3 linked regions of the Diceros bicornis minor genome follow. The protein of the gene in region 1 purifies or fractionates together with the protein of each later gene. This does not show direct contact. Links are inferred from orthologs where the notes say so. Each region holds a gene or a part of one and is shown in the gene's direction. Other genes may lie near its edges.

Region 1 (7,610 bases):
GACCAGAGAATAGGTTCTGTCAGATCTGCCTTAACAAAAGAAGGAAGCAGGGGGCCTTTATAGGGCTAAGGGGCTTGGGAGAAGGAGTTTCAGGGAAACAAAGGGGAAATCTGTGTTTCTTTCACTTCAGATAAGACCTTGCGCAACTAGACTTCTTGGCATCAGTGGCAGCTGGGGGCTAGTTATCTGCTGGTCGTAACTTCCTTACAGGCATTCTTTTTCCTCGGTAAGACAAGCTCATAAATCCTTGTGACCACTGAGTCACCCCTCTGGTTAAATAAGAAAACAGCAAATTAGGGGCCGACCCCGTGGCATAGCGGTTAAGTGTGTGCACTCTGCTGCTGGCGGCCCGGGTTTGGATCCCGGGCGCACACCGACACACGGCTTGTCAGGCCATGCTGTGGTGGCATCCCATATAAAGTGGAGGACCATGGGCACAGATGTTAGCTCAGGGCCAGTCTTCCTCAGCAAAAAGAGGAGGATTGGCAACAGATGTTAGCTCATGGCTGATCTGCCTCACACACACACACTAAATAAATAAACAAATAAATATTTTTTAAAAAAAGAAAGAAAGAAAACAGCAAATTAACAAGATACAATGATGCCTGGGCTGTGAAGCAAGCATTTGAGCTCAACAAATACATCTAACAGAGATTGAGGTTATTTATTCACTTCTTTTCTTCTGTGTCTGTGTTGGGAACAAGGTCAGAGGGTAACCATGTTCTTATGGAGTATTTACAGTAGCCCTCAGGTACCCCGTCTCAGTGTCAAAGCTGGGGTGCTGGGGTGCGGCATTGCCAATCGAGTTCCTGCCGTGGGAGACTCTACAGGACAAGTGACCCCGGTCCTTCAACAGGACACTACATGGAGCAAAGAGAGGACAATCCTATTGATTAAGACACATACCAACTAACTGCAATGTGTGAAACAATTTGATTCTGATTCAAACAAAAAGTAAAAGAACTCACAATAAAATCAGGAAAATACTGGTTGGATCTTTACTGATATTTAGGACTTGTGTTACTTTTCTTGGTTAGTATCCCAGGTACTTTCTGCTCTATAAGAATTACCTCCCAAACTTGGTGTAAAACAAGCACCATTTTGTTACGTTCACGGATTCTGTAGGTCAGGGGGTGAGACAGGATGGTCTGTCGGGCACTGTTGGGCAGGTCTTCTGGGTCTTTAGCCTCAATTTTCAGGTTAAGAGAAGCCAGACCCCCAACCTCGCCCTCACCTGGGTCCTGAGCTGAAGCCACAACGGGATGAGACTTTGGGGGATCCTGGGAAGTGTTGTGTTTTACAGGAGAGGAACGTGGGTCCTTGTGGCTAGAATAAAGATGGCCACACAGTCTTTCCTTCTCTTCCCACTGAAAGGTGGAGTCTAACTCTCTGACTTTGAACTTGGGCTGGCCCAACTCATGGGCTTGGCCAGCAGAGAGCCACACAAGTTTGGTTCTGGCACTTCTGAGTGGGCTCACATGAAGCCCGGTGAACAAGCCTCTCAGAACTTGCTCTTGGAGTCCAGCTGCCAAGATCCCATGGGCGTTGTGCTGGAGGTCCTCAAGTTGACAGCCCCAGGGGAGTGCTGTATGACAGGGCCCTCTTGGCCGGCCACCTTCATTTGGCTGCAGCACGACTCAATCTGACCGACACTGCATGAGAGCCCCAGCTGAGTTCACGCAGCCCCCAGAATAGGAGAGAGAATCGTGACTCGCTGCTCCAAGCCACCGCATTTGGAGTGGTTTGTTATATAGCAGTAGAGACAAGGACCCAGCGGGATAATGGTGCTATGGCTATTGTTCACCCTAAAAAAGGATCCTTTTCCTTAGAAATAAATACATACTGAAATATTTATGGTGGAAATGACTTCTGGGGGTTGCTTCAAACTTGCTGCGTGGGGGGAGGTGAGGCACAGATGAAACAAGATCAGTCACGAGCTGATACCCGTTGAGGCTGGATGGTCTGTCCACTTGGGTTCATAATACCATTCTTTCTACAGTATTTTGGTGCATGTGGTGGGCCGCCTTCAAGACAACCCCAACGGTGCCGCTGCCTCCTGGTCCTCAGGCCCCTGTGTCCCCTCTCACCCGGTGCCAGGAGAGGTTTGTGTGACCAATCTAGTAGGGCGGAGCTAGGGCACTGCTAAGGTTAGATTGTAAGACACCTTGGCTTCATCTTCAGTGCTTGCTGTTTCCCTGGCTCTTGTTCTTTCTGTCTCTGTCTGTCTGTCTGTTTGTCTGTCTCTGAGGCCTCACATGGGGAAAGCCAGCTGCCCTGTTGTGAGCAGCCCTACGGAGTGGCCAGAGCCGTAGGTGGCAGAGAACTAAATCCTCCAGCCAACAGCCCACAAGGAACTGAGCCTCCTGCCCACAGTGCCTGCATTAGCTTGGAGTTCCAGCACATCTTCAGGGACCACAACCTCATGAGAGACCTGGAGCCAGAACCAACCCGCTAAGCTGCTCCCTGATCCTCAGAAACCATGCAAAATAATAAACGGTTGTTGTTTTAAGCTGCTGAATTTCAGGGTACATTTTTACACAGTAATAGATTACTAATAACATGTATGTTTGAAATTTTCTATAATAGAGTTTGGTTTTTTTAAAAGCACTTGGGTTATCCGAAAGCCAACTTTTCCTCAACCAGCGACTCAGACAGCAGTGCAGGGGGACAGTCCGCTGTGGTATTCCAAGTTTACAATGACAAGAAGCCTCAGAAGCAACATAGTGAATACCCAATTAGAATGCTCTGCTTTCCGCCAACTAAACTTTGTACACATAAAGCTGACAGTGCAACTCCTAGTTACAGAAAATAAGCAAATATTCCTCAAAAATTGAGAAATTTCCAGAAGATACCAAAGTCAGTATTTTGCATTAAGTTCAATTTCTGAAAATGCCCTCCTACGTACAATGCAGTTGTGTGTATATGTGTGTTTGTGACAACTTCTGTCTTGGCCTGGGTTCCCTGCCTTTGTGGAGCTTAACAGTCATTATAGGTGGCATGAACTCATTACCACCTTATTACAATTCTACAAATGCTACAGGCTGGAGGTGTGGAGCCGTTAGGGGCTTGGACCCCACAAGAAGAAAGAGGAGTGCTGGGCTGGGGTTTGGGCACTCCGGCCTTCAGGCAGACCAGCCCCGGGCCAGACCAGCCCCATTTTATGAGGCCCCTCCTGGTGCTACAAAATGTTCCTTGATTTAGCATGTGGGCAAATGTCTGAAGTCTGCCAACAATTGGAGCACACAAACGGAGAATTCTTGGGTCTGTGATGAATAGCAGACTGAGAAAATCATGTCATCTGTGCCAAGAGCTTCCAAAGTCACAAGAGTCAAGGAATTCCGCAGTGACATGTTTTTTCCCTGAAGTGATGCTCATGGCAAGGAAACCAAATGTGCTGAGCCCCCAAGAATGTTGATTTAGTCTGGAAAAAAAAAGCCTGAGGGCTGCAGGCCTGGGGCAGCTCTGAGCCTGTGTATGCTTCTGGCCATCCAGCCGTGTTCTTCAGGAGGGGACAGTGGGGCAGAGGGCCACCAGCATAGCCTTGGACAGGTTACAAAGATACCAAGAGAGGCCCCAGAGCCCAGGCTCAGGCCAGGGGTGACCTGGACACCGGTAAAAAATAAAAAAACTACAGGCCCAAGGTGGAGTCACTTGCCCCCAGGACCGGAAACCAAGACTTAATTGCAGTTTCACCCCCTCCCAGGAATGTAACCTTACCAGTCGGGAAATTCCTGATCAACAATAGTGAGGTCATCTGCCTGCTAAGACCCCTGCCGCCCTTCCCCCAAAGAAAGGTGATCTTGCCTGAAAGCATCTTTTCTTTCCTTTTGCTAATTACTTTCTTGTCCCACCTAGTTTCTTCCTATAAAAATCTTCTTTTGTACAACCCTTCGGAAGGCCTGTTTATTAAATGGGATGCTGCCTGATCCATAAATCCTTGAATAAAGCCAATTAGATCTTCAAATTTTCTCGGTTGGAATTGTTTTTTAACACCACCCACGGAGCGTTCTTTGAGTGGTTAACGTGAGCTGATCGAAGAAGGTCCAGCGTTAACTTCCGAGAGGGTCACGATGGCGAGAGGACGCGAGAGGCCGGCTCAGGTGGGAGGGCGGCCGTCGGCTGGCCTCGGGTGGACCCTGCCGTGCACGCGGAGATGTTCCAGAGCTTTACAGACGTGCCTTACAGCACCTCGCGGAAATGCCACGACGTACGTGGGGCGTGAGCAAGACCGTGACACCGCCCGTCCCTCTACTTTGCGGGCTGACCCGTGGGGACGGCCGGGACCGGAAAATGCTTGCAGCAAAAGGCGCAAAACTACCAACTGGGACCGGACTTCCTAGGCGTCCCGAGCCCGCCCGCCGCCCACACGGGACGCACCCACCACACCAGCCCGGCAAGATGGCACCGGCACGCTCCCGGCAGACCCGCGCGCCCGCGCATGCGCCCTGGCGTGTGGCGCGAGCGGAAGTCGCGTGACCCCGGAAGTGGCCGGCCGGGAGCGCGCGGGCGGGGCGGCGACGTTCGTCGTTCCGTGCGGGAGGGAGCGCGAGAGCTGCGCAGTCGAACCTCCGGTGAGCGCCACGGCGGGACGGCGGCGGCAGGCGGGGCGGCGGCAGCGGCAGCGGCAGGGAGGCGCGGGGGCCGCGCCTTTGTTCGCTCCGCCTGCCGTGGGGTCTGCGCGGGGCTGGGGCGGCGGTGACAGCCGGCGGAGGCCGGGCCGCAGGGCGGGCCCACGTGCGGCGCGGGCCAGGGGCGCGGACCGGGGGCTTAGGCCTCCTTTGTGGCCGCCGCCCGTACCCCGCGGCCCCTCCCCGCCGGCGTGCGCCGACCGGAGCTAGGCTGACGTCCCCTTCTCCGGGGCACCGCGCCCCACCCCGCGCCGCGCCCGGCCCAGATTGCGGGGCCCTGCGGAAGTGCGGCCGCGGCGATCGCCCTAGAGGATCCTGTCGCCTGCGGCCGCACTTAGTGACATTAGGGCGTGAGCCTTGTAGAGGAATTCCAGAGGAAGCGGCAGGGAGGCCTGGGAAAGCGGGCAGGCCCCACCCCGCCTGGGGCGGCCGGCGGCTCGGGGATCCCTGCGGCCCTTTGTGAGATCTGGTCCTCGGGCGAGTCCCAGCTGCCAGCCTGGGCCTGTGGGGAAAGGCTTTGGTAATCTTTCCTGGGCAATCTGAGGCCTGGGGTGGGCTGGGCCTTGACCCATCTCCTACACCACCCGGACCTATCTGAGTGGGTTCCAGACACTCCTCAGGAAGTCTCTGGGCTTGCAATGGGATTTTTAGCTGAAGGAAGCCCAGCGGCTGCCTCATGCAGTGCTCCCCGCTCTGAGAGTGCTGCTCCAGACTCGCCTGGGCCAGGATCCAGAAAAAGGGTCTTGAAAATACTGGAGCTGCTGCAGCAGTTCCCAAATTGTAGGTCACAGACTCTCACGATTGGAGAGAACGTTGGCAGACTCTTAGGATCCCCTGTGCCCTTTTGGGACCTACATGTGGGAGTCAGGCTGGCCTCATCATCTGAGCTGTAGGAGAGCCCTGTGTTTGCAGGATGAGGCAGAACTGACCTGTGTCCTGCACAGAGGCCTTGCTTCCTGGCTAGGACAGGGCAGAAGGAGCATGCCTGGTCCTAGGGAGCCGGGTCTCCCTGACCCAGTGGGAGGAGTCCCGTGGGGCGAGGGCCTGAGCAGCTCAGAAAGAGCAGCAGGACTTCAGAGGTGACAGTTGGGGGTCTGCCGGCAGGGCTGGGGTCCTGCCTCCTCCTTGGGGGCGGCAGAGGTGTGCCTGGTCTCCCAGAGGAGCAGGCTGCGGGTTCCATTTAGTCCTGGGTACTGTACCTAGGCTGGGGTCCTCTCAGACTGCCCCAGTGGGTCCCCTGAGATGGGCAGGGCGAGGAGGCAAGTATAGCCCCGCTGGGTTCAGGAGCCTATGTCTGGGTTCTGGCTGCAGGCTGCCCTCCTGCTCTAGAAGGTGCACCTCTCTTTGGGCCGAGATACGGGGCCTGGCCACCTGTGGAGCAGCCTTCGACACAGCCCGCCTGAGCTGGCTGCAGGGCCCGCTGAGGGGCGGGAGGGGGGAGACATTGTGGGTCCCTCCAGGCTGCCACAGCCCGCCTGGCCCACAGGTGTCCCAGACCCAGCGAGAGGTGAGCATGGCCGAGCAGGAGCCCACAGCAGAGCAGCTGGCACAGATTGCAGCTGAGAACGAGGAAGACGAGCACTCGGTCAACTACAAGCCCCCGGCCCAGAAGAGCATCCAGGAGATTCAGGAGCTGGACAAGGACGATGAGAGTCTGCGCAAGTACAAGGAGGCCCTGCTGGGCCGTGTGGCTGTGTCTGCTGGTGAGTGGGTTGGGGTCACACAGAGGGATACCTTGTCACTCTTCTGGGTTTCTGCTGCTGCTGCCCCCTGGTGGCAAGTTATGGGTGTGTGGGAGGCCCAGGGGGTGGAGCACTAACCTGCTGTCACTCCACAGACCCCAACGTCCCCAATGTAGTCGTGACCCGCCTGACCCTGGTGTGTAGCACCGCCCCGGGCCCCCTGGAGCTTGACCTGACAGGTGAGTGGCACCTTTGAGGTCTCTGGCTGGGGCTGCCTGGCACCCCCACCCCTGCTTTCTCTAAATATAGTTTCCTGGAGCTCTGCCACCCTCTCGTGGGGAGAACAAGAAGTGCAGCCAAGCGGTCTTTGAAGTTGCTGGTTTTGGAGTGATCTGGGTCCTAGGTTGGGGGTGCCAAGGGCTATGTGTGCAGGGGCAGGGGAGACGGGGAGTAGAAGGGGCATCCCGCCAGGGCCCAGATGGCAGCGGGCAGTCACAGATGGGAGATGCCGAAGTGAGTGGCTTCTGCTGGCTGAGCCCCCTAGTGTGGTGTTCCTCCCAAATACAGGTGATCTGGAGAGCTTCAAGAAGCAGTCATTTGTGCTGAAGGAAGGTGTGGAATACCGGATAAAAATCTCTTTCCGGGTAAGGCAGAGGCTGTGGCAGGGGCCGGGAGGGGCCAGGGCTGGAGAGCCCGGCTGAGCCTTGCCTGGGGTCCCTCCCTGCAGGTGAACCGAGAAATTGTGTCCGGCATGAAGTACATCCAGCACACATACAGGAAAGGCGTCAAGAGTGAGTGAGGGTGGGCACCAGACCCCAGCCTCTAAGAGAGAGATGGCTGCCTCTTGGCTGGCTCAGGGCAAAGGGCTTAGGGACCAGGAGGGAGACAGGAAAGGCAGTGTGTGCCCTCGGCCCAGCTCTGCTCCCTGGCAGCTGCCCGGGCAGAGGTGAGCCACACTGATGACCAGTGCATTCTCTGCATTACAGTTGACAAGACTGACTACATGGTGGGGAGCTACGGGCCCCGGGCAGAGGAGTACGAGTTCCTGACTCCCATGGAGGAGGCGCCCAAGGGCATGCTGGCTCGAGGCAGCTACAACATCAAGTCGCGTTTCACAGATGATGACAAGACTGATCACCTGTCCTGGGAGTGGAACCTCACCATTAAAAAAGAGTGGAAGGACTGAGTCCTGGGTCCGGGAGGCAGGCAGGATGGACAGACGGACGGACGTACGCACCCCACCCCTACCACCCCACACCCCCTTCCTGACCCCATACCAAAGTGCTGACAGGGCCCTTGG
Region 2 (7,388 bases), on another chromosome or scaffold:
ACTCAGACCTGCTGGCGGGAGGGGGGGTGGGGCAGACATAGTCTGATATATTCCGAACTGGGCCTGTTAGGTCTGCTGGATTGGACGCACAAGGGTTGGAGGATGGAGTGCGGTCAAGGGAAAGAGGGGAATTCAGGTTGACTTCTAGGTTTGGGGCCAAGCAACAGGGTGAATGGTGGTTCTGTTTTCTGAGAAGGGGAAGGCTGGGAGGGGAGCAGTTTTCGAAACATCAAGAATCCTGGAGACAACATGTATGCACTTGTTGCTCAAGAGAGGTCACGGCTGGAGATGTTATTTAAGACTTGGGATTGGATGAGATGACCTAGGAAGAGAGTGTACACAGATAAGCACCCAGGAATGAGCTCTGAGCTAAGCCTGCAGTGAGGGTTGGGGGAGGAGAGCTAGCCTCGGAGGAGGAAGCAGGATTGGGGGAGAGGGGAGAAAACAGAAACTCTAAGAACAGAATGTTCCCAGGGAGTGTTACATGTGTCCAAGGCTGCTTAGGAGAAGGGTAAGATGAGGCAGAGAAGGTCAGCTTCCGGATTTAGCAAGATGGAAGTCTCCACTATCTTGACAAGAGAAGTCTGGGTGCAGGGGTGCCGACAACTAATTTAATCTCTGTGGAGCTGTTTCCTCTGCAAAAGGAGGGTATGGGAAAAGATGATGTTTAAGGCCCCATCCTCTACTTCATCATACCACATGCTTTTAAGCCGGCAAAAAAATTTTCAAAAAAACTCCTAAAACGATTAGGGATAAGAAAAATTCTAATAAAAGAAGCTATGCTATTTGGGAGTTTATTAATCAAACAAGTTCTGCGGTCATTAGTACTCTTTTACACAAAAACTATTACGGCTATTTATACAAATTATTAGATAAGCCAAGGAAACAATGAAAATAGAACACCTAGTGGCCGGAATTCTTCTCAGAGGACCAAAGGTATATAAGATGTACCATCAAAATAGTATCAGAATGCTTTTCTACCTTATCGTCCTGTGAAGACCCTTAAAAGTTAATTCTGGACACAAGACAGAGTGGCTGCCGGTCAGGCTGTGCGAGTCCTTATTCATTCCCGTGCTCTGTCACCCACACTGCAGGGACTGGTCACCCCCCCAGAGGTCAGAAAGGAATGTTAAATCATACCAGAGATTTCCAGATTGAGTTCATGGAACTTTATAAGATTACACTAAATGCTTAGTTCTCTTTAACAATCATCTCTGCCAGTGAAAAGCTTACCCAGTGTTACCTCTAAAATACGTATTATAAAATATTTCAGACCCACAAAAACGTACAAAGGATGCTATAAAGGGCACCGTGGGCCACCACTCAGCTTAATAAAACATTACTACCGCTGACGAGGCCCCCATGGAGGCATCATTCTCCCCGTCCTCCAGATAGTCACTGTCCTGAATTTCCACCCAAAGTTAGTGAGTCCTGAAAAATAACCCAAATTCTTGTTTTGCCGAGAGTGTTCTATATTTTTCCCTATTGCCTACTGACTGTACTTTTGAAGTGACTGAGGCTAGAGCTTGTCATACTCTTTGTGAACTTTTATTTATTGGTTGAGATTAACCTGGCACCAGCGTGGAGACAGGCTCCAGCTGATCTGATAGGAAGCGGATGTTCTGTGCGACAGCTCTGGTCCTTGCCGCCGTATCTAAAGGGACTGTGAGGGCTGCCTCACTTTAGTGTACCCTTGCCTGAAAAACTTCAAGCAATTTCCCAACAGCCTTTGCCAGGCTCATGGCAGACATACAATTTCCCTCCTCTAGCTGAAAAACTGAAACCCTGCAGGGGAATAACTTCACACATAAGAAGTGAAGGGAGAGGCAAATTAAGTCATATTTGTCAGGATCCTGCCACACCCTAAGTCAGTGGTTCTCAGATTTTGGTGTAAGTCAGACTCACCTGGGGATTTGTTAAAGACGCAGATCCCAGGGTTAACCTGAGACTTAAGGACCCATGATTCCTAGAGCGGGCTCCATGAGTGAGTCTAATGCACACCAAGGCTTCAGTACCACTGTCCTAAGCAATTCTCATAGGTTCCTTGGAGTTCAGTCTTCTGTGTGTGTGCTGGGGGTGGGGAGGGCTGGGGAGAAGTTTAGGTTCTCAAGTCAGGTGAAAATAAATTACCCTTGGAAAATGCCCTGAAAACACTCCTAAGATACAGTACAAAGGTTTTATTTTTGGGTTGGGGAACCCTGTACAGTAACATGTAAATATAATGCATAAGGCTTACAGTAATGTAAAGCAAATGGGGAAGGCTTATGACTTTATGCTATTTTAACTTAAACAACAAAAGTATACCTATAAATCAAATTTGAGTAAGTTAAACGCTCCCATTATATGACTCAGTGACACAAGAACTCCATACATTATTATCTCCAGTCTACGGCTGAAGAGGCAGGAGCTCAGATGAAGAGACTGGCCCAAAGTGAGGGGCTTGTAGATGCTGGAACCAGAATTCAGACTCAGCTCTGTTCGTTTCTGAAACTTGTGGTCTTTTCATTTTACCACACTGCCGCAGGCCAATTCCTTTTCACCATTCCCCTGAAGGGTAAAGTTCACAAATGCTCCAGGTCTTGGGCCACTGCTATTTCAAAACACCCAATTTAGAAGACAATATACCGTAAAGTGGGTGAGATAAACAATTATGTTAGAGGCACATCCTATCAGCAGAGTTGGGGACCAGAAATGACTAACAAGTCTCCAGGCAGTGATAAGAGGCGGAGATAGAGCAGGCTGGGGTAACATGTCCAGTCTGAACCATTATCACTGCAGGTTATTTAAATATCTTTCATAGTTTCCTTCCTCCTGCAGTTAACTTTACATCTTCATTTTAATAGAAAAGAAAGTCTTTCAGAGGGAACAGACTTGCTGTTGGAATACAGGACAAAATCTCAGAAAAGGCCTCCCTCTTCACCTGGACCTCTAAAATGCCCTGGTCCTGCAGCTGGGAGAGGGTGACAGGTACAAGCTGACAAGGGGTACCCCAGAAGCAGTCTGCCCCCGTGACAGGTTAGGCATTAGTGGGAGGCCCACATTCTGCTAAGCACTTTGCACACATTATCTCACTTAATCCATACAAGTCCATGTCGGGGGGCTACTAGTATCTCCAGTCTACGAATTGGGAAGGTGAGTCTTGGAGAGTTTGGGTCTTTGCCCAAAGTCACTGGTTACTGTCTGTACCAGGAGAGATTCAAGTGCTTACTGTGTGCCAGGCTCTGCTCTAGGCATCTCACATGCATTAATTCCTCTAATCCTCATAACAACCCTAGGAAATAGGTGCCATAATTATGCCATTTTACAGATGTGAAAACGAAAGCACAAAGGAGTTAATAACGCGCTCAACTCACATGGGGAGTTAGTGGCCAGCCCAGGAAAGGAATTCCGGAGAAGCTCTGGTCTCAACCCTTAGCCTACATCACAATCCCCTGGAGGGCTTGAAGATAGACTGCTGGGCCCCAGCCCTACAGATTCTGAGCCCTAGGTTTGGGGCGGTCCCCTTGAATTTCCATTTCCGCCAGTTCTCAGGTGATGCTCACGATGCTAGTGTGCGAAGCACGCTTAGAGAACCACCGCTCTGGAGCTGGCTCACCGAATCACTGCGCCACAAATGCGCCTGGCCACCAAAGTCCATGTGTTTTGTGTGTTTTTTAAAATTCCTCTTGAGATCCATTTGCAAAAAATATTAAAAACAATTCCTAGAATTTCTCCCTATGGCGATTTCTGCTATAGCTTTGTGCTAGTCAAGTCAAAGGAGGCCACAGCTGTGTCCTTTAACCAGAGCGTTCGGCGATGGAGCGTCTTCTAGGCTTGTGTCCTTCTCGACCCAATCCGAACGCGGAGGCCGGCCGGCCACGTGCGCCGAGACGCAGAGGCCAGGTACGGCCGCCCCAGGCCCGGGGTTCTCAGAACCCGCCCCGGTCGCGGCGCAAGGACAAGCAAATGACCTGACCACGGGGAGCAGCCCCACCCCAAAATGGCCCAGCATCTCCCCTCTGGCCGCCTGCTCCTCCAGGTTTATTTACATTTTCTTGCTTTCTCTCTGTCCACTGTGGGGCAAATAATCTGACGTCTTACATCTGCAATCAGGAGTTGAACCAAATTCGGCAAAGTTTTTCTCCAAGGGCAAGGGAACAGGCAGAGAAGAGGGAAGGGTCTTCACGATGGAGAGAGACGGCGGGGCGGGAGGGAGGCGGAGGACGCCCCCGCCCGGGTCTCCAAGGCCCTCAGGGGCGCCCTCCTGGGCGGGGCGGGGGGCGCCCGGCGGGGCGGGTGGGAGGCGGGAGAGCCCCTGGGCGGCCAGCGGCCGCAGCCATTTTGCGCGCCGGGCGCACCTCGCAGGTCGGGCGGGGCGGTTAGGGGCGCGGCCCCGGGACCCCGCCCCGCCGGGGACTCTTGGGAGCGCGGGCCGCGGGCGCACTGCGCGGACACGCCGACAGCGGGAGAGCAGCCGTCCTCTGCAGGCGCCGCCGGTGAGCCCGGCGCGTGGCCGGGGTTGGCGGGCGGAGGGGTCGGGCCGGGGTTGGGGGGGCGCGCCCCGCAGAGGGGACAGTGGCCGGGACTCGACGACAGGTGTGGCGGGGCCGGTCTGGCGGAGGGGCGGCCCGCGCGCAAGCCCCGGGCCGGCGGTCCCCGAGGGGAATCGGGCTCGCCCCTCCGCCGGCCGCGTTCGGGGTCTCGGGCCGGTGGGGTCCTCGCCTGGCCCTCCGGGCATGGCTCTCCCGTTCGGCCCAAAGAAACAGCAGGTGAAGCTGAACCTGCTGGTGTGGCCGCCCCCGCTGCTCCGCGACCTTCCTCTTTCCACTCTGTGCCCTGGAGTCCCCCTTCCAAAGTGCCAGCGGAGCCTGGGCTGCGTGGCCGCGCCCCTGCCCGCGCCCTCGTGCTTCGCTTGGCCCCGCGGTCCTCGGCCCTTCCCGGGCGGGGCCGGTTTTCTTCAAGTGTTTCTCAAAGGCTTGACGGTTGCGGTTTCAGCCCTGGGGCAAACGGTTGCTTCACAAAGTGAAACTTGCTGTTTGCTGGGCTCCCCGCTGGCTTCCGGGAAGCCCCGAGAAGTACCTCTGGGGACCCCCGCCCCGCCGCTTCCCAGTCCGGGAGCCGGCCCCCGCCCCGGCGCCCGGGTCCCCCGACCCCTCCCCGCCGGGATCCGCGCCGCCCGCCCCGGCACCCTCCCCGCCAAGCCCCCTTCCTGGCGCCGAGGCCCCCCGCCCGGGCCCTACATCCCTATGCGCGCGCGCGCGCGCAACCCTCCCCACCGGCTCCCTCCCCCCAGGTCCCCTCCGGCTGGGTCCATCCCCCCGGGTTCCCGGGCCCCCTCCGGCCGGCCCCCTCCCCCCGGGACCCCGGGACCCCGCGCCCCCTCCGGCTGGGTCCCTCCCCCCGGGACCCCGAGCCCCGTGCTGGCCAGGTCCAGCCCCCTCCTCACCGGGTCTCTCCCCGCCGCCCCCTCCCCCTCCCCCCCTCCCCCCCCGGGCCCCCGCCCCCGCCCCCTCCCCGCAGGGCCCGCCCGCCCGGCCTGCGGTAATTGCAGGTTGGGCGGTGACTCATCCCGGCGCCCGCCCGGCGGGTTCTTAAGCAGCGGCGCGGGGCGGGCGGCGAGTCTCGGGGCGCGGCGGCGGGCGCGGGAGGAGGGCTGCTGCGCGCTCTAAAGGGCTTCCCTCTGCCTCCAGGTCGGGAGAACCGTCTCAGCTGCTGCTCGAGAGTAGTGTTTCCAGGGGATTGAGGAAAACCCATCAGGAACCGAAAATGCCGAAACCAGTAAGTAACCCAGTTTCTGGGCTGGGGCGGAGGCTTCGAGCTGTATTTTCAATTGGAGGCACCTGGGCGAGGTGTTGGGGCAGGGTTTTTTAAACGGATAAGAGGGCAGGAGTAGGGAATTGTCTCTCCTCTTTGTTGTGTGTTGGTCCTTTTAGGGACCTCCTGAAGAAAACACGATTTTGATGCTTTTCTCTACAGTCTTTTTGTTTGCGAGCTCCGCCCCCCAGGAGTTACGGTCTTTTATACAAGTTAGAATCCCCTTTTACACCGCTTCAGTCTGTTTCAAAGTGTATTCTAATGCAACTTGGAAGTTGCTTAGAAAGAAAAGTTGTCTAAATCGCAGGAGAGTTGAGTGACGTCCGACGGCGCACACCAACTCCGAGTCCCTCCGAGTCCGGAGCCAGATGCACCCCAAATCTTCTTTTGGCGCCCCCAAGGGCATCTGGCAGAGGAGACGCTGTCTTTCTGGCGGGCAGCCCCGTTCCAGTGCATTGCACGCCGGCGCAGCCTGTGGAGCTGTGCTCTGTTCGCCCGGAATTTGCTGGTGGCAGCAGGATTCCTATCTGAAAGAGTTTAGTAATGGACTTGAATTGCAGATGAGGGCAGGCAGCCCCGGAGTTTGATAAGGAGGCTCCCTGGGCCCTCTCTGGTCTTGCACTCCTGGTAAATGTCATAAACATCAGCTGATGTCAGGGCTGCCGTGCCCGCACCTCTGTGCCCCGGAATCTGATTTTGTTGCGTTCTCTGCGAGTTGGCTAGCCAGGCCTGGGGTGTTAGGCTTTCGCTTAAGTTATGGGACCGAGGCAGGTTCTTTGTGACGGGCGTTTCTTAGGAAGTAGTATATATTCTGCCTGCTTTAACGCAGGTAAACTGGTGACCAGATACTGGGGAGGAGGGTTTAAATTTTAATCGAGTTTTGAATCACGGTGGAGAAAATGTCTGGGTTCATTAAAAATTGCAATAAAAGATACATATGGAATAGTTTTTGAAACAGATTGGTTCTGTAGTGGATGCTGTATGTGCTTTTCTACCGTTAAATGTTAGATTCTCTAAAATGAGTTCTTTATTAATAAAGTCTTATTTTGTTGTTTAAGTAAGTAAATTACTATGTTAATATACTAAAAGATTGAGAAGCTAGTATAGTTTTTGCCTAAATTATTTCATCAAGATGATTCATTCGTGATGCAGAAAATTTTTTTTCCTACACAAAATTCTTTTAGTTTCGAACTTGCAATCGGTCCGTGACATCCGGGCTTTACAATCCCTATGATATAAAACTGACCTAAATACAGCCGCTTACTTGGGGCACAGCCCTGAGCAGTTATGCAGAGCAGTGGTCAAGAGATTACCATTTCCTGGTGTGGTTTTCTTTATTTCACGAAAAGATGCAGAGTTCAGATTTTAGCGTATCACTTAGAAGAAAAGAGTTAATAAACCAGTTTCCAGTCAGTACTTTTCTCTCTCATTTCTCATGATGAACTGTAATTTCTTTTCTTTTTCTGGTTTCCTTTTTTTATTGTAGTAAAATATACGTAACATTCAATTTGCCATCTTAACTATTTTTAACTGTACAGTTCAGTGGCACTAAGTACATTCACATTGTTGTGCAAGTGTCACCACCATCCATCTCC
Region 3 (7,306 bases), on another chromosome or scaffold:
GCGTGGGCTGCTCCAGGGCTCCCACTGTGGCCCCAACTGAGGAAGGAAGTGGAGTCAGAGGAGGGGGAAGGAAACAGCGAAGGCCCCTGAGAAGCGGTACGGCTCAGTGTTTTAAAGCACTGGCTCTGGAGCTGGACTGCTGGGGACTGAATCCGGGTTCGAGTACTTTGCTGACTGTGTCACCTTTGACAATTCCCTTAACTTGCATCAACAGTTCCTGCCTTAGGGTTGTTATGAGGATTAAATAAATTAATAAATGTTAATATTAGAACAGTGCATGGCACAGAGCACACTCCATTTAAGGGTCTGCTATAATTAACATCACCTCTACAGCAGGGTGTGCTGTCAGCCTAATGCCCCTGGTCCTTCTGCTCTCTCTGGCCACTCCCAATCCCAGGGCTTCCTGAAACCAGAGCTCCTGGGTGGTGAATTCACCCACCTTGAGTTCCCCCGCAGAGTTCAGCCCAAGGAGCTGGGGCAGAAGATGCTGTACAGGGACCAGAACATGACCGGCTGGTAACACTTCCCTCAGAGCTGGGGCCTGTTCCCATCGCAATGCAACCAATCCCTTACCAGCAGCAAGGTGGAAGCTCGAGGCTGGACCAGGCTGGGAGCTGGGGCATTGGGCCCTTCTTAGGGGTCTGTGTGAGGGGCGTGGCTCCTAGGGGAGAGGGGCTTTGATGCCTGGGTGATGCCTCTTCTACTCCCCCCTCCCCAGGGCCTACAAAAAGATCGAGCTGGAGGATCTCAGGTTTCCTCTGGTCTGTGGGGAGGGCAAAAAGGTAAACTCCATGGTAGAGATGGGAGAGGGCAAGAGGACCCACTGCAACTTGTCTAGGGAGGTGGAGGTTCTACCTGAGGGTAGGGGTGGGAGGGGTCCACGGTTTCAGAGAGTCAGGGAGAGGGCTGTAGCAGCACCCCCTCCTCATTTCCTTTAGGCTCGAGTGATGGCCACTATTGGGGTGACCCGGGGCTTGGGAGACCACAACCTCAAGGTCTGCAGTTCTACCCTGCCCATCAAGCCCTTCCTCTCCTGCTTCCCTGAGGTGAGCCATATGGGGGCCCCCTGAACCACACCTTCCCTCCTCTGGGGGTCTCAGGCTGGCTTTCATTCCGGGTCCTTTTATCCCCAGGCTCCCTCTCCATCCTCTTTCCTACCAGGTGCAAGTGTATGACCTGACGCAGTACGAGCACTGCCCAGATGACGTGCTAGTCCTGGGAACAGATGGGCTGTGGGATGTCACCAGTGACTGTGAGGTAGCTGCCACTGTCGACAGGGTGCTGTCAGCCTATGAGCCCAATGACCCCAGCAGGTATGGGTTGTATGGCAGCGAGGGGAGAACAGTGGGGAAGGAAGGGTCAAGGGAAGCAGTGTTTGGGGACCCACATGAGGGCCTGTGCATCTATCTTCCTGTATACATGTTGGTACATGAATGTGCACATGTGCTCCTGGCAGGTACACAGCTCTGGCACAAGCTCTGGTCCTGGGGGCCCGGGGCACCCCCCGGGATCGTGGCTGGCGTCTTCCCAACAACAAGCTGGGTTCCGGGGATGACATCTCGGTCTTCATCATCCCCCTGGGAGGGCCAGGCAGTTACTCCTGAGGGGCTCAGCCCTGACCCTCCCACCACTATCCTAGCCTCTCCAGTCTTACCCCTCTCCCAACCCAAATTCTGAAGTTGTCTCCCTGACCTTCTTTAGTGGCAAATTAACTGAAGAAGGGGTATCAGTTAGATACAAAATTATAGCTATTGGCAAATAAACCAGATGGATAAAGGTGTGTGTCTTTATGTATTTTGACTAGAAACAAAAGATAAGAAAAAGCTCTTTGGGGTAGGGGAAAGAACACCAGAATAGTCCTAAAAATGTAGTGTTCCCAGGTTCTTTCTTCTACCCTCTGCTCTTCCCACTCCACGCACTCTCATCCTCTTCTGATTCTCATCCACTTCTGTGGCTTCATCTACCTGCTGGTGTCTCCCAAGTCAGTATTTCCAGCCCAGCTCTCTCCCGAGCTTTAGACCCACATATTCCAGTCGTCTCCCAAACATCTCCTAGACATCCACAGGCACTTCAGTTCAACATACCTCGAGCTGGATTCATCATTTCCCCCTCAAACAGGCTCCTTCTCCTGGTTCATCATCTCAGTGGGCATCAGCTCAGCCTCTTTAGAAATCTTGGAGTTGGTCACCTTTGACTTCCATCTTTTCCTCATCAAGCTAATCAATCACTAAGTATTGTTGATTATATATTTTAAAATACATTTAATATCTGTCCACATATCTCCACCTCCACTGTCATTACCGTAGTTCTTTACTACATCAGCCTCCTAACTCATCTCCTAACTCTGTCTTCAGGCCACCCCACTGCTTCCCCTAATATATTAGGGACACAGCAGCCAGGGTGACCCTTCCACAATGCGAGTCTGAGTTGGTTATTCCCCTGAGAGAACATTACAGTGGCTCGTTACTGCACCTAGACCAAAATCGACACTCAAATCTTGAGCATGGCATATAAGGACCTTCATGATCTGGCCACTGCTTCCTTCTCCAGCCACCTCTTTTACCACCACCACCACCACCTTCCTGGGGTTTCAGTAACCCTGTGGGCCTGTAGTAGCTCCAACTCATTTTAAAGTGTACTCACCACCTTATCTTGAACACTTCACCTGTCTTCCAGGGCTGGGTATTGCACAGCCCACACGCCCCACTACAGCAACTGCCTCCTGTATTATAACTGCCTGTGTGAGGAGTTGGTGTGGAGCAGCAGCTAAGAGCAGAGCTCTAGAGTCCTGCTGTCTGAGTTCTGGTGCCAGACTCAACACTAGCTCTGTAACCTCTCTGAGCCTCAATTTGCTTCTCATTAAAATGGAGATAACAGTACTACCTTATATGGTTGTTGTAACGTCTAAAGTAGTTCATGTATGAAGAGCGAGGTCCATGTACAAAGGGTTCGATAACTGTTAGCTATCTTTAAGTTGTCTGTCTTCTGAATTTAGATGGTAAGTACTTTGAAGGCAGAAATTGATCTGAACTGAGCACATAGCTCTCAGTTCACACTCAATAAATGTTCACTGAGCAAGTTAAGAGGCCTGGGGACCAAACTGCTCTGGACCTCAGTTTCTTCATTTATCAAATGTGTGGGTTGCACTTCAGATCTTTAAAGTCTGTATGATTTCTAACATTCATTCAGGGAATATTTGTTGAAAAGCTAGTATGTGCCATACACTGTGTAAGACAGTGGGGAAGGGACAGGTTGGAGGAGCATGGGGGACAGCAGGGAGGGAACACCGGCTTTGGAGCCAGGTCGACCTGACTGAATTCTTGCTCTGTCACATACAAATCGCAAAACTTTGGGCAAGCCACTTAACTTCTCTGAGCCTCAGTTTCCTTACAGGCAAACAGGGATCGGTATACTAAACCTAAAGATCTGTGTTGAGTATTAAAAGGGCTGAGCTATACAGTGTACGGCACGAGACAATAAAATGTTGGTAGGCTTCCTCATCCTCCATCCACCTCCTCAGCCACCACACAGGGAAGGAGATACACTTGTAGGTAAATACCCACTGCGACCAGTCAGACGGGGCTAAGTGTCCCTAGCGGCACAGAAATAATACAATGGTGGTAGGAACTGAATTCCAGCTGGGGATCTGGAAGGATTTCCAAGAGGGCCTTTTGAGGGATAGGTAGGAATTGGACTCCTGGAATTTCCAGACAGGGAGAAGGAAGAGAACTGTGAGGCAGAACGATGGCATGGATCTCAAAGGTTCTGAAAGGTCTTCAAGACTGGGGGATGACGTTGAGCTGTGCTTACTCCGCAAAGATTCTAGGAGCAGAGGGCGGGCATCTGCAGCCCTCTCCTCGGGAGTCCCGGAGTCCGCCGTTTTCCAGTCCGGCCTCCCGCGAAGTCCCAGGTGGTGTAGGCGCGGGTGGCTAGTTGGCCACCGGAGGGCAGCAGCGGCCCTTTCCTGACCCCACCCCGAGCGCCTCTCAACTTTCCAGACGCCGGTCCGCCCCTCGGGGCTGGAAGGCGGGGCAGAGGCAGAGTCCTCGGGGGTTGCACCCGCCCCGCCCCGCCCCGCCGCCCATCCTCCACAGTCCAGGCATCTCTCTACCCAGGGGTCGAAACCGCAGACCCCGCAGCCAGTTGCGGGGCGACCCGCGGTGGCCCTGGGCTGGGGCGGTGGGCGGGCGGAGCCAAGGTTCGTCGCTGGCCTGGCCTTCCTCCCGGGCCCGCCCCTCCCCGCGGGCCCGCCCCTCCCCGCCGCCGCGCTGAAGGAGGGCGGGGCGGGGCGGGGCGGGGCCCCGGGGCCCTCGGGTCAATCTCAGCCTCCGGCACCGGCCGCGCAGCTGGAGGCGGTCGAGCGGAAGGTACGCTGGGCTGAGGGCTGGGGGCGGCGGGCGGCCCGGGAACTCGTCCCCGGGCGAGTACCTTTCGCCTTCTCCGCTAGGCGGGAGCTCGGGGCGCCGGCTGGGGAGCGGGCTTTGGCCAGAGCGCGGGTCGCCTTCCCACCCCCTCGGATGCGGCGTCTTGGCTGTGCGGGGTCGGGCAGGCTTGGCCCCTCCCTGGGCTGCAGTAGAGGACCCCCGGGAACTGCCCCGCAGGGCCTCTCGCCTCCTGGTGTCCGAGCCGGAGTTCGTTCCTTTCCCCTCCCGGCTTCCCGGAACCTGCCCCGCCGGGCGAGGGGTGAGGGGCGAGGGGGCAACTTGAGTCTCCGCGATGGAGCCCCAGCCCGGACTCTCTAGCTCCCATGCCCGGCGGCCCGAGGTGGACCTGGGTGCGGTGTGGGTCTGGGCCCGAGTTCGGGTGTCGGTGGGAATTCCCCCGGGCCAGACTGGTGGAATGGCGGGAATAGGGGCGGGGTGTGACCACGGGGGCTGCCACCGCTCGGCGGGGTCTGGACGCCGCCCTAAGCGGTTCCAGGAGCCTGCCTGTGGTGGGAGGTTGGGGAGACTGGGAAGGATCCAGCTCCTGTGTGTTGTGTGTGTGTGTGTGAGAGTGAATCTCCTCCCTTCCAGCCCTCTCCATCACACTCCCCAGTCTGGCTAAAGATAATCCTAGAGGTTTGGGCTGGAGGACTCGAGGCTATGTCCTCCCCTCACTTCTGGTTTTAATGTTGAAGAGTAGGTATCTGACTCCTTCCCTAGACCTCAGGAGTGGTGGGCAGGGTGCAGTGGACCCCTGGGTCATCTGGAAATCTAGAGAGTGATTAAGAGACAGGGCAAGTGTCTTGTCTCAGGGAAGGCCCCAGCAGTTCCAGGCTCCATTCCAGGCCCTGTATGGGGTTTGGTTGCCCCTTGTAGGGTCAGTGGGGTAGTTCCTCTGGGGCTGCCTCTCACAGGGAGTTGTTGTCCTTGCCATCTTGGCCCTGGGCCTAGTGGCCTGGTCTGGCCTGGGCTAGCTGTTCTTCTGGCTCTACTAGAGCCTGAAGGGAAAGCCTTCTAATTGAGCTGGGGGCCCCAGTCACTTAATGCATGCCCTTGCCCCTGAGTTCTGACCACTGCCTCCCACAGTCTGGTGCCACCTAAAGTGCCCTGCTGGGGGAGGGCAGTGACATACTCGTACCTGAGGAACTGTTATTCACTCTCCACCAACATTGCCTATCCCAGGTTGGCGGTATCCCAGCATGTTTTCACAGAGCTGGACCAGTGGAACTGGTGGGAGTGGGTGGGGGGAGTTGGTCACCTGGCTAGAATTTCCAGGGATCCCCTATTGGAAGGATGGTTTCCATTTTGGAGGGGATCTGCTGACATGGTGAATGCCTTCTTGCCTGTGTTTTGGGGGATCAGGGAGAGCCCCTTCTGTGGTTGGGAGAGTGTAGCTGTGTATTCTCAACTCCTATAAATTCTCTCTGACTCATATCCACTACCCCTCATCCCGGTTTTCTGTGTATGAGTGTGAGTGAGTGAGGGGAGGGAGGCCGCCGGGGATTCCACTGTTGAAGAGAACTTGCCTTGGGCTGGAGTATTCAGTTCCTAAAAGGCAGGCCGACCGAGGCAAGGATGAGGTGGTGGTGGTGTGTGGGGAGTAAAGGAGTTCAGCCCAGTTTGACAGGATGTGGGCCTGAGAGAAAAAGCCAGGTTTTGGGCAGAGATCAGGTTACCATCCCCTTCTTTCTTAACTACTCCCTCCCTGGTTGGTGCTGGGACTGGCCCTCATTTGTCTCTTTTTGGGGGCTCCTCCCAGCTCAGGCTCTAGCCCCCTCCCCCTTCCCAACAGCCTCGACTTCATCTCTGCTCCAGAGCCCGCCCTCTCTTCCTCCCCGGCTGTGGGCCTGGGAACTTCAGCCGGCTGGAGGTCAGCTCCTCTCCCCAGGGAAGGAGGAAGTGAGGCTCAGCTCAGGGGCAGGGAAGCTGGGAAGGTGGGATGAACTGTGCAGATGCCCATTCCTGTGTGTTGGGGGTGGGGGACACATGGAAACCCCGGGAAGCTGACTCCTTGCCCTGAGTCACAGGGAGGGTTGGGCAGTGCCTTGGGGTGAGCTGGACAGAGGGGAAGAAGGGAGTGGGTGGAGGTGTTTCCCTAGTGGATTATTCTCAGTCACTCTGCTGTGGTGGATGTGTGGCTCCCTACAGTGTGGTCATTGTCCCCTGCCTGGGGCTGAGTGACCCAGTGTTGCTGCCAGGCCCAGGAGGAAGGGGGGAGGAAGGCAGGCTGCCCAAATGTGGGCTGTGGGCACTGCTGGGACTGAGCCTCCTTTGTGTGACTCGGGGCTTTGGGGACCAGTTTGGGGTGGGCCGGGGAAGCCGCTGGCTGCTGCCACTGCCCTCTGTCTGGATTTCCCTCCCTCTGCTCTCCGTCCCACCTCTGGGGTGATATGTAGAAAAGACAACAGACTCTAGAGTCACACGGCCCTGCTTTGAGTGCTGTCCCTGCCACGACTCTGAACATGTGTCCTAACCTCACTGAGCCTCACTTTCCTAGTTTCTCAAAATGGGAAGCGCACCATCTCCCTTCCAGGCTTCTGGGGACTGAGAGAGATGATTTTTGTCAAAATGCCCAACATAGTGCCTGGCCCCTAGGAGCTGGAAATATATTCTTTGCCTTACCCACCCACCACCTGGTAGCTGGTTCTGCTAGCTTGTGGTCTTGGAGAGGGACTCCTCATTTGTGACTGGGCAGGCATGACTACTGCTGAGTGAGGGGCAGTGTGTTCTAGATTTTGGACCTTAGCCATTATTAAAATTTAAAAGTATCAAATTCCTGGTAACAAATGAAGTCTGACTTGAAACCCTGATGTGGACAGTTATGCGCCACACAACGATGTTTTGGTCAACAGTGGACCACATATATGACGGTGGTCCCATGA

What was found. Proteins that work in one complex are often made in the same cells at the same time.
Region 2: the proteins of ARHGDIA (region 1) and EZR purify together in Homo sapiens (co-purification; 3 studies listed by BioGRID and IntAct, with this or other methods). This does not show direct contact. The link is inferred for Diceros bicornis minor from reciprocal best matches to the Homo sapiens genes ARHGDIA and EZR.
Region 3: the proteins of ARHGDIA (region 1) and RHOC purify together in Homo sapiens (affinity purification with mass spectrometry; 4 studies listed by BioGRID and IntAct, with this or other methods). This does not show direct contact. The link is inferred for Diceros bicornis minor from reciprocal best matches to the Homo sapiens genes ARHGDIA and RHOC.

What each region holds. Positions count from the first base shown.
Region 1 is NC_080757.1:61,197,479-61,205,088, reverse strand, and holds the start of ARHGDIA (rho GDP-dissociation inhibitor 1), read left to right. Parts: upstream 1-4,472; 5' UTR 4,473-4,571; intron 4,572-4,911; exon of another isoform or gene 4,912-5,148; intron 5,149-6,114; 5' UTR 6,115-6,141; coding exon 6,142-6,331; intron 6,332-6,465; coding exon 6,466-6,549; intron 6,550-6,877; coding exon 6,878-6,954; intron 6,955-7,037; coding exon 7,038-7,101; intron 7,102-7,296; coding exon 7,297-7,496; 3' UTR 7,497-7,539; exon of another isoform or gene 7,540-7,610. UniProt on the Homo sapiens protein: Controls Rho proteins homeostasis. Regulates the GDP/GTP exchange reaction of the Rho proteins by inhibiting the dissociation of GDP from them, and the subsequent binding of GTP to them.
Region 2 is NC_080778.1:10,869,618-10,877,005, forward strand, and holds the start of EZR (ezrin), read left to right. Parts: upstream 1-4,378; 5' UTR 4,379-4,475; intron 4,476-5,669; 5' UTR 5,670-5,745; coding exon 5,746-5,757; intron 5,758-7,388. UniProt on the Homo sapiens protein: Probably involved in connections of major cytoskeletal structures to the plasma membrane. In epithelial cells, required for the formation of microvilli and membrane ruffles on the apical pole. Along with PLEKHG6, required for normal macropinocytosis.
Region 3 is NC_080743.1:45,467,451-45,474,756, reverse strand, and holds the start of RHOC (rho-related GTP-binding protein RhoC), read left to right. Parts: upstream 1-4,296; 5' UTR 4,297-4,367; intron 4,368-7,306. Other genes in the region: PPM1J (protein phosphatase 1J), read left to right, coding at 398-516, 719-782, 939-1,046, 1,162-1,313, 1,457-1,604. UniProt on the Homo sapiens protein: Regulates a signal transduction pathway linking plasma membrane receptors to the assembly of focal adhesions and actin stress fibers.